3 linked regions of the Coturnix japonica genome follow. The protein of the gene in region 2 purifies or fractionates together with the protein of the main gene of each other region. This does not show direct contact. Links are inferred from orthologs where the notes say so. Each region holds a gene or a part of one and is shown on either strand. Other genes may lie near its edges.

The links.
Region 1: the proteins of SNX9 (region 2) and DNM1 purify together in Homo sapiens (co-immunoprecipitation; 6 studies listed by BioGRID and IntAct, counting the BioPlex papers as one, with this or other methods). This does not show direct contact. The link is inferred for Coturnix japonica from reciprocal best matches to the Homo sapiens genes SNX9 and DNM1.
Region 3: the proteins of SNX9 (region 2) and SYNJ1 purify together in Homo sapiens (co-immunoprecipitation; 3 studies listed by BioGRID and IntAct, counting the BioPlex papers as one, with this or other methods). This does not show direct contact. The link is inferred for Coturnix japonica from reciprocal best matches to the Homo sapiens genes SNX9 and SYNJ1.

What each region holds. Positions count from the first base shown.
Region 1 is NC_029532.1:3,809,460-3,813,767, reverse strand, and holds the start of DNM1 (dynamin-1), read left to right. Parts: upstream 1-1,502; 5' UTR 1,503-1,655; coding exon 1,656-1,816; intron 1,817-4,308. UniProt on the Homo sapiens protein: Catalyzes the hydrolysis of GTP and utilizes this energy to mediate vesicle scission and participates in many forms of endocytosis, such as clathrin-mediated endocytosis or synaptic vesicle endocytosis as well as rapid endocytosis (RE).
Region 2 is NC_029518.1:46,790,618-46,794,125, forward strand, and holds part of SNX9 (sorting nexin-9), read left to right. Parts: intron 1-153; coding exon 154-307; intron 308-1,320; coding exon 1,321-1,405; intron 1,406-2,274; coding exon 2,275-2,400; intron 2,401-2,674; coding exon 2,675-2,792; intron 2,793-3,508. UniProt on the Homo sapiens protein: Involved in endocytosis and intracellular vesicle trafficking, both during interphase and at the end of mitosis. Required for efficient progress through mitosis and cytokinesis. Required for normal formation of the cleavage furrow at the end of mitosis.
Region 3 is NC_029516.1:94,512,713-94,517,016, forward strand, and holds the start of SYNJ1 (synaptojanin-1), read right to left. Parts: upstream 2,807-4,304; 5' UTR 2,802-2,806; coding exon 2,713-2,801; intron 1,653-2,712; coding exon 1,507-1,652; intron 1-1,506. UniProt on the Homo sapiens protein: Phosphatase that acts on various phosphoinositides, including phosphatidylinositol 4-phosphate, phosphatidylinositol (4,5)-bisphosphate and phosphatidylinositol (3,4,5)-trisphosphate. Has a role in clathrin-mediated endocytosis.

The DNA of each region.
Region 1 (4,308 bases), on a different chromosome or scaffold from region 2:
CTTGTAGGAGTAACACTGCAGGCGCACACTGTACTCTTATTTCTCCCAGAGTGCAACTGCAAAGCTGAGGATGCAAGAACTTATTCTTTAAACCTCTGTAAGAGTTCCACTAATACTGAGATATATAATAACATTGATAATATTATCATGATATTGATAACACTGATCTCTCTGCTAAGAGATCTGTGCAAAATCCAGCAATATCACTGCATCACAAAAGCTGCAGTGGTCACAATCACACATCATTAATGTAATAGGAGCATTAGAGGCAGGTGTGGATTCATAGGGATGAGTGCAAGGGAAGGAAAAAAGTCAAGTCCCTATAAGCATTAATGAGGCAATAAGCATTGATGTCAGCAGGCAGCAAGAACAGGTGGATGGGAAATTGGTAATCACAGCCTGAACCTCTGATTAATCAGCTGAGGTGAGTGTGGGGTCAGCTCTGGGAGCACAGGTGGCAGTAATGGAGCTGTGCTCCCGGATGGGATGGAGCTCGACTCCACCTCCTCCAGACCTCATTTAAGGGCTGACCACCACTAAGGCAGCATCTCTTGGAGGCTGCTGCTTGGTGGAGGTTGCCTCAGCAGTTCCCAGCAGACTGAAGGCTTCCATATGGGTGAGTTTTTCCTGTAAGTAACCTTTTGGGTATTTACTACCATCTTTTCATTGCTGTCACTGTACAACAGGGTTCTCCAAAAGCGAAGAAGGATCTAGCAGGTGAATCTCAGAGCTGACAAGGCAGCCTTACCAACCAGCTCCTGGTGCCACTGCATCCAACAGAGGCCCAATCAAAGCAAGCAGCAGTGATAGGGCAGGTGTAAGATCAGTAGGAAAACTAGCAATAGGACCGTTGATTTCTAAGCAAACAGGTTAACAATGAAATATAACTAATACTAAGATAACAGCATCTATGTTGGAGGAGAATCATGTAGCTCTATAGGCATACAGGGATATGACTGAGTTGGAAGTCAATACTGGTCTGACTTTAAATAGAGCACCTAGGAGCACAGAAGCTTCAGATGACGCTAATTAGTCATCAAGGCTCATTAGCATAGCTATTGTATTACAGGATACTGTTGCAGTGGTGTAGTCAGGTAGTTTACCAGCAGTAAACTGAACCATGTGCTTAAACTTCAGGTTATGCCAACTTCTAGGAACAAAGCAATTTCCTTCTCATGGTTCTTTGTATAATGCTTTAAAGATCCGTGTGGTATGGAGTGCCCTAAACACCAGCTCTGACCCATAGAGGAAGGTGACATCGCTCTTTAAATGCCTGATGCCTTTTGGTCTTTGCTTTGACCTCTACAAAGGGGCAGCATCAACTTCTGCATTAAAACACATTAAGATAACAATTAAAACATTAACACGAATTGCACAGCTTGGAATCTATCGCAGGTTTCGGTGCTCCATCCCCCCGCTGTGAGTTCTGTGATGCAGCCCCTCACAAACTACAACTCCCATCGTGCAGAGCAGCGTCTGCAGCTTTAAAGCGCCCCACTGCGGCGGCTCGCACGGAGCAGAGCTGAGCTGAGCCCGGGCGGCGTCGAGCGGAGCGGAGCGGGCTGGAGCCCTGCGGCCGGGCGGGGAGGGTCGGTACCCGGCGCTGTTAGAGCTGAAGCGGGCGGTCAGAGGGAGAGAGGAGCCACGCCGCCACCATGGGGAACCGCGGGATGGAAGATCTGATCCCGCTGGTCAACCGGCTGCAGGACGCCTTCGCCGCCATCGGGCAGAACGCGAACCTCGACCTGCCGCAGATCGCTGTGGTCGGAGGGCAGAGCGCCGGCAAGAGCTCGGTGCTGGAGAATTTCGTCGGCAGGTAACGGAGCGGGGAGAGCTGCGGGCTGTGAGCGGAGCTGCGGGCGGTGCGTGCGGCACAGCCGCGGGGTGTGCGGGAGGGGCGGCACGGGAGAAGCCGCCGGGTGCTTGAGCGATGCGATGTGTGTGTGTATAGTGCGGTGTAGGGCACGGAGAGCGATGTGTGTGTGTATAGTGCGGTGTAGGGCACGGAGCTGCCGGCTGCACGCGGCGGAGCCGTTGGGCGCACGGGCGGTGCGGTGCATTGCGAGAGCCGCGGGGTGCGCGCAGTGCGGGGCGCTGCGGGGCGAGCAGGGGGAGGGATCCGCGGCGGAGCCCCCGGCATTGCCGCAGCTCGGGGCTGGAGGGAGCCCCCGTTACATAACGGAGCGGAACGGCCCCGAATCATCCCCCCACCCCCGGTCAGGTGCCCCCTCGGGTGTGCGTGAGGCTGAGGGTCGGTGTGATCCGCGTTGGGTGCCGCGTCTGGAGCTGCGGGAAGGACGTGCCCGCATCCCCGCTGCTACCATTTTGTGGCAGGCGATGCACCGCTGCCTTCCCTTCATGTGACCTTCGCATTCATCATCTGCAACTTGAGTCAATGGCAGCGCCGTGATCCGCTCCGACACACAACACCTGGGGAGGGGTTGTTCCTCAGCTGTGCTGACCTCCTTAATTAATTGCATTCAGCCATACGCAGGTTTAGCTATCAAGGTATTTTGTGATGCTGTAAGCAGCTTGCTGTTGCCTTGCCTGAAAGCAGCAGCTGCTGTGATACCTGCTCAATGCTTGCGTGGGCTTTTCTTTATCAGAAAGCTGTATTGATGACAATGGCTGTGGGATGCTGTTCTCCCACCATTCTCCTCTTTCTGTTTAAACATACAATACAGAACAGCTTGTGAGGGAGGTCTGCAGTGTGTACGAGTTGTTTGTTTACCTGCAAGCCCCCCAAATTCTGTTCCTGTGCCTCGAGCAGTGCTGCATACATGGGCTGAAGGCACAGGATTGTGCTTTCTCTGAGCCAGATACAGCAGGAGCAAGATTTGTTTAAGATACAGAAACACATCCAACATTTGGGATCCTTTCTGATCCTTCAGTCTATGCAATATCCCCCAGAGATCCTGGGAGTCCTGCAGGGAAGGACATTGCATGAATGCGTTTCACTGAGCCTCATGTCACCGGGATCCACCTTTTTGTTCACTAACCCAGACAAAAGTACAAATTCCTACCCATGAAGGGGAAGATTTGCAGCCCCACAGCTTACTGAAGGGGAGGAGGGGTCTCCTGGAGCATGTAAGCACAGCGGGTTCACCTGTTGGCTCTGCTGTTTTCATGCTTTCTAAGTACTGGCAGCCTGACCTCGTAAATCCTTTTTAGAGGATCTGTGCAGGCAGTGCTGCAGTGTGCTGGATGGCTGCAGGACTGCAGGAGGGTTTGTTGAGGGATGGTGGTTGGGGTGTGCTGCCCCTTTCTTTGAGGCTGAGAAAACATAATGGGGTCATGGTCATCTCCACTGGGATCAATGGGAGCTGGGGAGTGTCTGCCTGCTGGAGGGCAAGGGAATGAAATTGTGCTCCTGGTTTCCATTTTGTGGATGATTCCTGGCAGGACCTGTGGCCTCAGTGACCCGTCAGTCTCTCCAGCAGTGTGCTATGGTGGCTTATAGGGAATGCAGTAATGGTGGGTCCCCAGAGCAGGAGCTGTGTGAAGCTGTCCATAGCAAAGCGTATAAGGGAAATAATTAGGCTGGAAATTAAAATCATGTCGAAGGGAGGAGGTCCTTTTCCATTTGATAGCATTGAATGCTGCCTGGATTAGAGACTGGTAACGTGAGGCATCTTACACAGAATATATGTGTGTATGCTGCAAAACCTAAACCTTCTAGAATAGCACTGGGAGCCTGTAATGCATCGTGTTACTGTTTTGTGTAGGGTTGAAAAACACAAGCAGCAGCTATGGAAGAACAGAATAAGCATGGCTCCTCATTGTGCTAGTGGCGTGAGGAGGAACTGTGGCCTGCTGTGTACAAATGTCATTGTTAGTGTGGCCGTGGCATATGTCACATCTCCAGCCTGGTGCTGGGATGGTGGTGCAGCAGCTGCTCACTGCACGTGGAATTAGGGTGCTGATGAGCTGCTCAGAGTGCTCGGAGGTCTGCATGCAAACAGCAGCTGATGCAGTTGTGCTGCATGATGTGCTTGGTAGAGATGTTCAGTAGAGGGGCTGGGCTGGCTTTCCCCTCCATACCTGTCAAACTCATTCCAAATGATCAAGCTGTGTTCATGCAGCAGGACAACCTGCTGGTCCCTGTGCCAGCCCCAGGCTCTGGCTGTGCAGGACTTCAGCCCAGGGCTGCTGCTGACATCTTGCAGCAGCGCTGAATCCCACACATGCAAAGCCTCAAAGCACAGTGGAGTGTTGCTGACTGCAATCGGTGTTTACTTATGTATCTTCCCAAACAAATATCTTTTTTTCTTCCTGCACACGAAGGCTTCTTAGTTGCTGCTAATTACT
Region 2 (3,508 bases):
GATGACTGAAGAAGAATAAAAAAATACAAGATCCAGCTATAGCTCTTCACTATATTTACCTTGTTGATTATTCGTGTATGAGTGCTGAGGAGTGTGCTTCTGCTTTCTAAACAGAAAGTGTGTAACTGTCTTAACCCTTCCTTTCCACTTCAGCAGCTGCTGATGACGATGATTGGGATGATGACTGGGATGACCCAAAATCGTCTTCACCATCTTACCTTGGTTACAAGGAAACTGAGTCTTCAGAGGCTGGGGGGTCCCAACGTGGAAACTCTCGTGCAGCTGCTATGAAGCTACCACTTAACAAGTAATGGAAAATACAGAACAGATGTGTCTATATTGATGAGAACTGGAATTTTTCAAGTAGCATAGATGTGTTGCTGTTAAACCTTCTTGAGATATGCAGTGTAAATAATATTTTGGGGGGTAAAAATATATGTGGATTAAGTATTGGGTCTATGTGATTAGATAATGTAGATTCAAGAAAATCTGGAAGTACATCACAAAACTATTTTTGGAGACATTATGCAAACAAATAATGCTTTTACAAGCTCTGTATTTCTGGACGTACTGTTGGTTAAGTTCATAGTGACTAGTCATTCACAGATGGTTGATTTTGTTCATCAGTGGACATTTTGTTCAGTTATGCTGCAGTGTGGCATCTACTAGTTGCAAATCTATTCAGTATGACCAGCATAAAAATAATTTAAAAGCATTTGTCTGAAAAGTATGTCAAACTTGCAGTGTATCTTCAAGCAAATAGTAGATTATTGATACTTCAAGAGCTAAGTATCTTCTTAATTAAAAAGAGAACCACTGTTTGCTACTCATAAAGCCCTTGCACAGGCTTTAAGGATGCTACAGTGATTTTTATGCATTTTTTTTCTAATTAGTGGACAAATTATTTCAACTCATGCTTAGAAGTACTTTTTAAATCTGCACTCCATTGTTATTTCAGATGATTGAATTCTCATTGTCTGAAACAGCAAGGTGTGCATGTGTGTAATTGCATGTATGCATCTGCAAAGTATGGGCTGCAATGAATGGCATGGCAAATGTTAGTGCATGCCCTACTATTACATTTGCTCTGGTGGACTGCAGATCACAACTAACTACATGTCATGCAAGAAGGGGCCTGTATTACACAGACAAAAGATGGAGATTAGCAGCTCAAACTTCTCTCCTTCTGGGTGAACAGTTGGTAACCTGTCACAATTTTTTTCTGTTTTTGAGAAATGCTAAGTGTTTTTCTTAGTGGTGGTGTATTCTGCACATATTGAAATAGGATGCAAAGTAAACTTATCGCTTTGTTTTGGTTAGATTTCCTGGATTTGCAAAACCTGGAATGGAACAGTATTTATTGGCAAAGCAGCTAGCAAAACCAAAAGAGAAGATTCCCATTATCGTAAGTCGGAGGTGGATAAGTGCGTGTGACTTTTGTTTAGTGGGTTGGCTGTATTTTTGTTTGGTTATTTCTATTTCTAGCAGGGTGGTAGCTGATTTCTGACTTGTTTTAGGTGTTGGTTTTTTGTTTTGTTTCATTTTTTAGATTCTTTCCACTTCCCTTCTTACCCAGGTTAACTTTTAGCCTCAGGGTTGTTAAATGTATCTGGGTTAGACAAAATCAGTGCTTAATACATAATTAGAAATGTCACTGTCATTGTGAAACTGTACACCACTTAAAGTCACAATAGACCACATTTCAGAGTCCTTTATCACTGAAGGTTATTTCAGACTCAGAGTCTTAACTCTTCTAAGTGTACTAATGTTTTCAAAATTATTTTTAATAGCATTTTTCTTACCTGCATTATTTATGAATGTGAAAAACAAGCCTTGTTGATATGGAGAGGGCAGAAAATGCATTACCCTGTCTCAGCTTTCTAGATAGTTGCCTCATGTGAAGTACATTCATGAAGGTTTCCTATATTCAGTCATGATGATGAGTTCATCTGCTGATCTAACAAACTGACTGTTCTAGATCTATACTATTATAGTGAAATGTGGTCGAGGTCGTAATACCTACAATGCTCCTTAATTATTTGGAAAAAAAAAATATGTATATATAAAAATACTTAAATACAACTGTGGTAAATGATCTCTAGCTGCAGGAAACCCCTGTGTTTCCTGATTCTTAGGCTAATTTTTAAATGAAGAGTTAGAAACTGTTTTGGAAATATTCTTTGTTGATATATGGAATGTATTTGTTTCCTTGTTTGCAGCTGGTACGATGTCATGTATTCAATTAAAAACAGTAATATTTGCAATTTCTTACAGATTGGTGATTATGGCCCAATGTGGGTTTATCCTACCTCTACGTTTGATTGTGTGGTAGCAGATCCCAAAAAAGGTTCAAAAATGTACGGTCTCAAGAGCTACATTGAGTATCAGCTGACCTGCACTGTAAGTGTATCTGAAACAGGCTCTTTCACAAATGTGGGTCATTAGTACAGACAAATAAGTTTGTTCAAGTTGGTAACTGAGTTGTAAATGATGGTTGACACCAGTTTTCCCCAAAGAGTAACTTTATTTCCTAGCGGTTTTAGTTCTGTAACTGTAGATTCAAGGCTCTACATTGTAAGTTTTATTTCACGTTCCACATATTTACTGGTCACACTTGTTTCATGTTGCTATCTGTAGTTGCCTGTCAGAATTCAGAGTTGTGTTTCTCTTACAGAACACTAATCGATCTGTCAACCACAGATACAAGCACTTTGACTGGTTGTACGAACGTCTCCTGGTTAAATTTGGATTAGCCATTCCAATCCCATCTCTTCCAGACAAGCAAGTAACAGGTAAATGTTTATTACTTGTTTGTGGATTTATGGGAATCTTAGAATCACCAAAGTTGGAAAAGACCTCCAAGATCGTCCAGTCCAACTGTCCACTTTCACCAACATTTCCCACTAAACCATGTCACTCAGCACAGCATCTAAGCATTTCTTGCACACCTCCACAGATAGTGACTCCAGCACCTCCCATTTTCTTTAAAAAAGATTAAAAAAAACACTTTTCATTGTTCAGTATTTATGGTAAACTAACTATCTGTTGCTAACAAAACACCACTACTAAAAGCATCATTTCATATCTCCAGTTTATTTCTCTAGGCCACTGATTTAAAGCCAAGATAAAATAGATTTTGTTTGTTTGTTTATTTACTGTTATTTCCCTATTATTACAGAAAATATTTGCTGTTGGAGAAAATAATTAACTAGTTATGTTCTCTATTTGACTATCCGGAGGAATTGTTTTGAGATTTTTGTTTTACTTTTCTTTGCATTTGATTGTGAAAGTGCTGTGTTGTAGGACCTTTGCAGTAAAGCTCTCAGAGGAAAGGGAGCATCCTCCTATAAGCTGTTCTTTGCCTATAAGTAAAATGGTGCAGCTATTCCTCCTATTGCTTGATTTCACACTTGTTCTGGAAAGCATATTTTGTGTGTATAGCACTGTGCTCCAGTCTGATGCCCATTCGGCTTGACTAAAATTTTCAAAGCCTGTGAAAGTCAGTTGT
Region 3 (4,304 bases), on a different chromosome or scaffold from region 2:
TACTGCTGGCAAAGTCAACAAGATAAGTTACACAAATATTAAGAAGAAACTGTAACAGATAAAAACAAATATCAAAAAATGGGAAGAAAGCACTCACAGTTTTTGACATTGATAACTGTGAGTTAATTTCATTTGTAATGTCAACTGTGCTAGCAAGTCCCATGGCTAGACCTGTATCGGATCATAGCAGCTCCAAATATCACATTAACTAAGGTACAGATTGAGACACAGGCAAGAGAGCACTAGCTCACACAGCCGGTTCAGCACAAACTATGGCCTGATTTCTAAGCACTTAACTTGCAGGATACAGGGTCAGCCAGGTGCCTCACAAAGAGGCAATGCCACAGCTAAGGAGTGCATCAGGCATACAAACAATTACAGATACCAAAGGTAGGGTAGGGAATGCATCTCCAATCCCACTTCAGAACTCCCACTTCTAACCTTCAGCCTTGCTGTAGGAGGGAACATGTTGCCGGCTCAGCCCACTCTACCCTATCTGGGCCAGAGCACCCTACGGGGAGACAACAACCCACCTGTGAGCCCTGTAAGGCTGCAGGCAATGCATTACAACCTCACACTGGGCACCAATTTTCAACAAAAATTGATCCATTCAAAAGAAGTACATCCACAGTACTCAAGCTTTCCACAAGATTCAAGAATCACAGAATCACAGAATGACCCGGGTTGGAAGGGACCTCAAGGGTCATGTAGTTCCAACCCCCCTGCCTGGCAGGGCCACCAAACATACACATTTACTAGATCAGGTTGCCCAGAAGAAGCCTAGGAACTCTTGGCAACCTGGTGCTCAGGCCTTTGTACTGAAGAATACAAACCAAAGTATATTTTTAGACCCTGTCTGTAGGTTTAAAGGATCTTTTCTGCACTTCCTGTTTTAGAGCCCTCCTTCGACTCTGACTTGAAAAAACACAAGCATTTGATGCATTTAGCACTGAAAGCACATAAAAATGACTATGCAATACAAGACATCTTGCTCAAAACATTGACTGACTTTATTATGAGATGATCTAACACACAATGTATGGTGATAGGTTAAAAACACAGGTGCAACATAGATTTAAAAACAAAAAAAAAACCCATCTAAGTCATAATACAAAGTGAGATAAACAAACTAAGATGATGCACCATTTAAGAATACAGCACTTTGTAATAAGTGCACCACAGATTTTGCTTTTTAATGAGTCATTGTGTACTCAAAGGCAGACGATTGCTCAGAACCAAAGATAAGCAGACGCTGGCAGATATTGGAAGAATATTTTGTATACATGGCAATACATATTCATGATGAAAATCTAATTAAATGTGTAAAATTCTCTTTCCAACAGATAAAGATACGAAACATTTCTTCCATTTAAATCAAAAGGATCTCCATTAGCAAATAAAAACCAGAATTGCTGCTTCTTCCTTATCTGTCATAAATAAAAACAGCTTCCACAACGTCAAGGTTGCCAGTTTTTTCATTGTATTTATCAAAACATAGTGACTTACAGAGGACAGCCACGGCTCCAGATTCAAACATGAGACATTCTTCTCTGTTTCTGGCTTCCACTATCACGCTGAACGGGAGCGGATCCAGCTTGTGATAGACACGATATCCTTTACTGAAAGCCATTTTGCCTTTATCGCTGGCAGTCCTGTCCAACACAAGATGATGTTAGTGAGAGCTTCCTGTGCTTCCAGATACCTTCTGCAGAACAGGTCTGACTTCCATTCTTTCCTAAGAATTTTACAGATCTAACAACAAAAAAGAGAAAAAGAAGAAAAGAGATGCTCACTCTTTCTAGTTCATGAGATTTACTTTATGTTTCAAAACAAATATATCTAAAGATAGCTTAAAGACAACATGCCAGCATTGCAAAAACATAATTGCCCAGAGCAGCACAAAGGATTTATTTAAGATCTCCTCCAGAACAACCAGAATTTCTTTTGCAATACCTAAACCAGACTCAGAGAAACTGGAGATGAGGTTCTCCTTTAGTCGCCACAAACACATTAGAGCAGCAGCAACCTTCTGCTGAACACAGAGGGCCAGGAGCTTCAGTTTTACGATGCCTTTTGCTCATGCTGACCTTGTATAAAAGGACACTACATTTCAAACAGTAAAGCTGCTAAGAGGCTTTGGAATAACATACAGAGACGATAACCTACTGCTTGGTTTCTCTTTATAAACGAACGCGGAGCTCCGTCTGGACTTAAGCCCTCCCTCGCAGCGGCTGACGATTAGAAAATCGCAGCACCGCACGAGAGAGACCGCTGACAAGCCATAAAGGTAACACCTTCCTTCGGAGCAATGAAAAAAAGCAATACCAAACCACAAAACACCAGCAGCCCACCGATATATCAGGGGCTGAAGGAATGCACAGAGCATAGAGGAGCGGCTAGAAAGCAGCGAACATGCTCCATTCCCGCAGCCCCACGCCGGTAACCTGAGGGCTGACAGCGGCACCGACCTTCCGCCCCCTCATACGACACAGGCAGGAGCGGCCGGCCAAGGAGCCGGCACCGGTCGAGCAGCCCCCGCCCCTCCACCTGCCCGGCGCCCGCGGCGCTGACAGAGCCTCCATCTTGTCTGGCGCCCGCGGCGCCCCCGCAGCCCGACACCCGCCACGGCGACAGCCGAGCGGGCTCCTCCCGTACCGACAGCCGCCCGCGGTGCCGCCGACCCGCCCCAATACCGGCCCCGCAGCTCCTCACCGGCCGCCACAGCTGCCGCCCGCTGCGCTCCCTGCCGCGGGAGCCGGCGGCACCTCACTTCCGCTCCGGCCCCTCCGTCCCTTCCGCATTGCGCCGCCCGCCACCGGAAGGCACGGGGAGGCGGCGGAGCCATGGTGGATGTTATGGCCGTGCTACCTTGGGGCGGTGAGGAGGGGGATGTGTGTCAGGACGGGGCTGGAGCCGAGCCCTTAGGGACAAGTATCCAGCAGGTTGAAGGAGGTGATCCTCCCCCTCTCCTCCCCCTCTGCTCTGCCTCATCTGGAATATTGTGTCCAGTTCTGGGCTCCCCAGTACAAAAAAGACAGGGATCTCTTGGAAAGAGTCCAGCGGAGGGCCACTAAGATGGTGAAGGGCCTGGAGCATCTCCCCTATGAGGAGAGACTTAGGGAACTGGGTCTGTTTAGCCTTGAGAAAAGAAGGCTGAGAGGGGACTTGATCCAGGTTTATAAATACCTGAGGTGTGGGAGCCATAGTGGCGAGGCTGGTCTCTTTTCAGTAGTGCGTGGGGACAGGACTAGGGGTAATGGGATGAAAGTACAGCATAGGAAGTTCCGCACGAATGTGCGGAAGAACTTCTTTACAGTGAGGGTGACGGAGCACTGGAACAGGCTGCCCAGGGAGGTGGTGGAGTCTCCTTCTCTGGAGATATTCAAGACCCGCCTGGACGCCTACCTGTGTGACGTGGTGTAGGGAGCCTGCTTTGGCAGGGGGGTTGGACTCGATGATCTCTAGAGGTCCCTTCCAACCCCTACAATTCTGTGATTCTGTGAAGTAGTACCCCTGCCCATTAAGCTGACTCTCTTGAAGGTAGGGAGGTCTTACAGAGAGACCTTGACAAATGGGAGGGCTGGGCAGTCACTGACTGCGTGGAGCTGAACAAGAGGAAATGCCAGAGGTACTTGGCAAGGTGTCACTAAAATCTTAAGGCAGAAAATAAGACAGTGCTCGAGAGCTTTGTTGAAATTTAGGCTATGAAAAGATGGGTTTACATATGTATGAAAAATATCACACTGAGTCTTGGAGATACATCTGTTATATGATACATTTCTGTTATGAAAACAGAATCACAGAATTACAGAATTATCAAGGTTGGAAAAGACCTAGAAGATCATATAGTTCAACCATTACCAATACTTCCCGGCTAAACCATATTCATCAACACAACATCCACATGTTTATTGAACACTCCCATGGTCGGTGACTCCACCACCTCCCTGGGCAGTGCATTCCAATGCCTGACTACCTTAGACATTTAAATATGTGCATGAAGCACAAAAGTGGAGTCAATGGGACAGGTCACATATATGAAGAAAAACAAACTTACCTCATGGTTTGGAGCAGAGACTTAAGTGGTCGGCTCTTGGATTATTAAGTGTGTTTATTGTTGTAGGCGTTAGTGAGGACTCTGTCTGCGATGAGGCAGGAACCCCCTTGTAAACAAACCTCCCTTTTATCACAATTCAGAATGTCCCCCAATTTTACATGCAATGTTATACATCTTCCCTGTTTCTAAACGATGCTAACTACCTAAAGAGGTTACTACATCTCAAGAGTTCCCATAGAATTTTGAG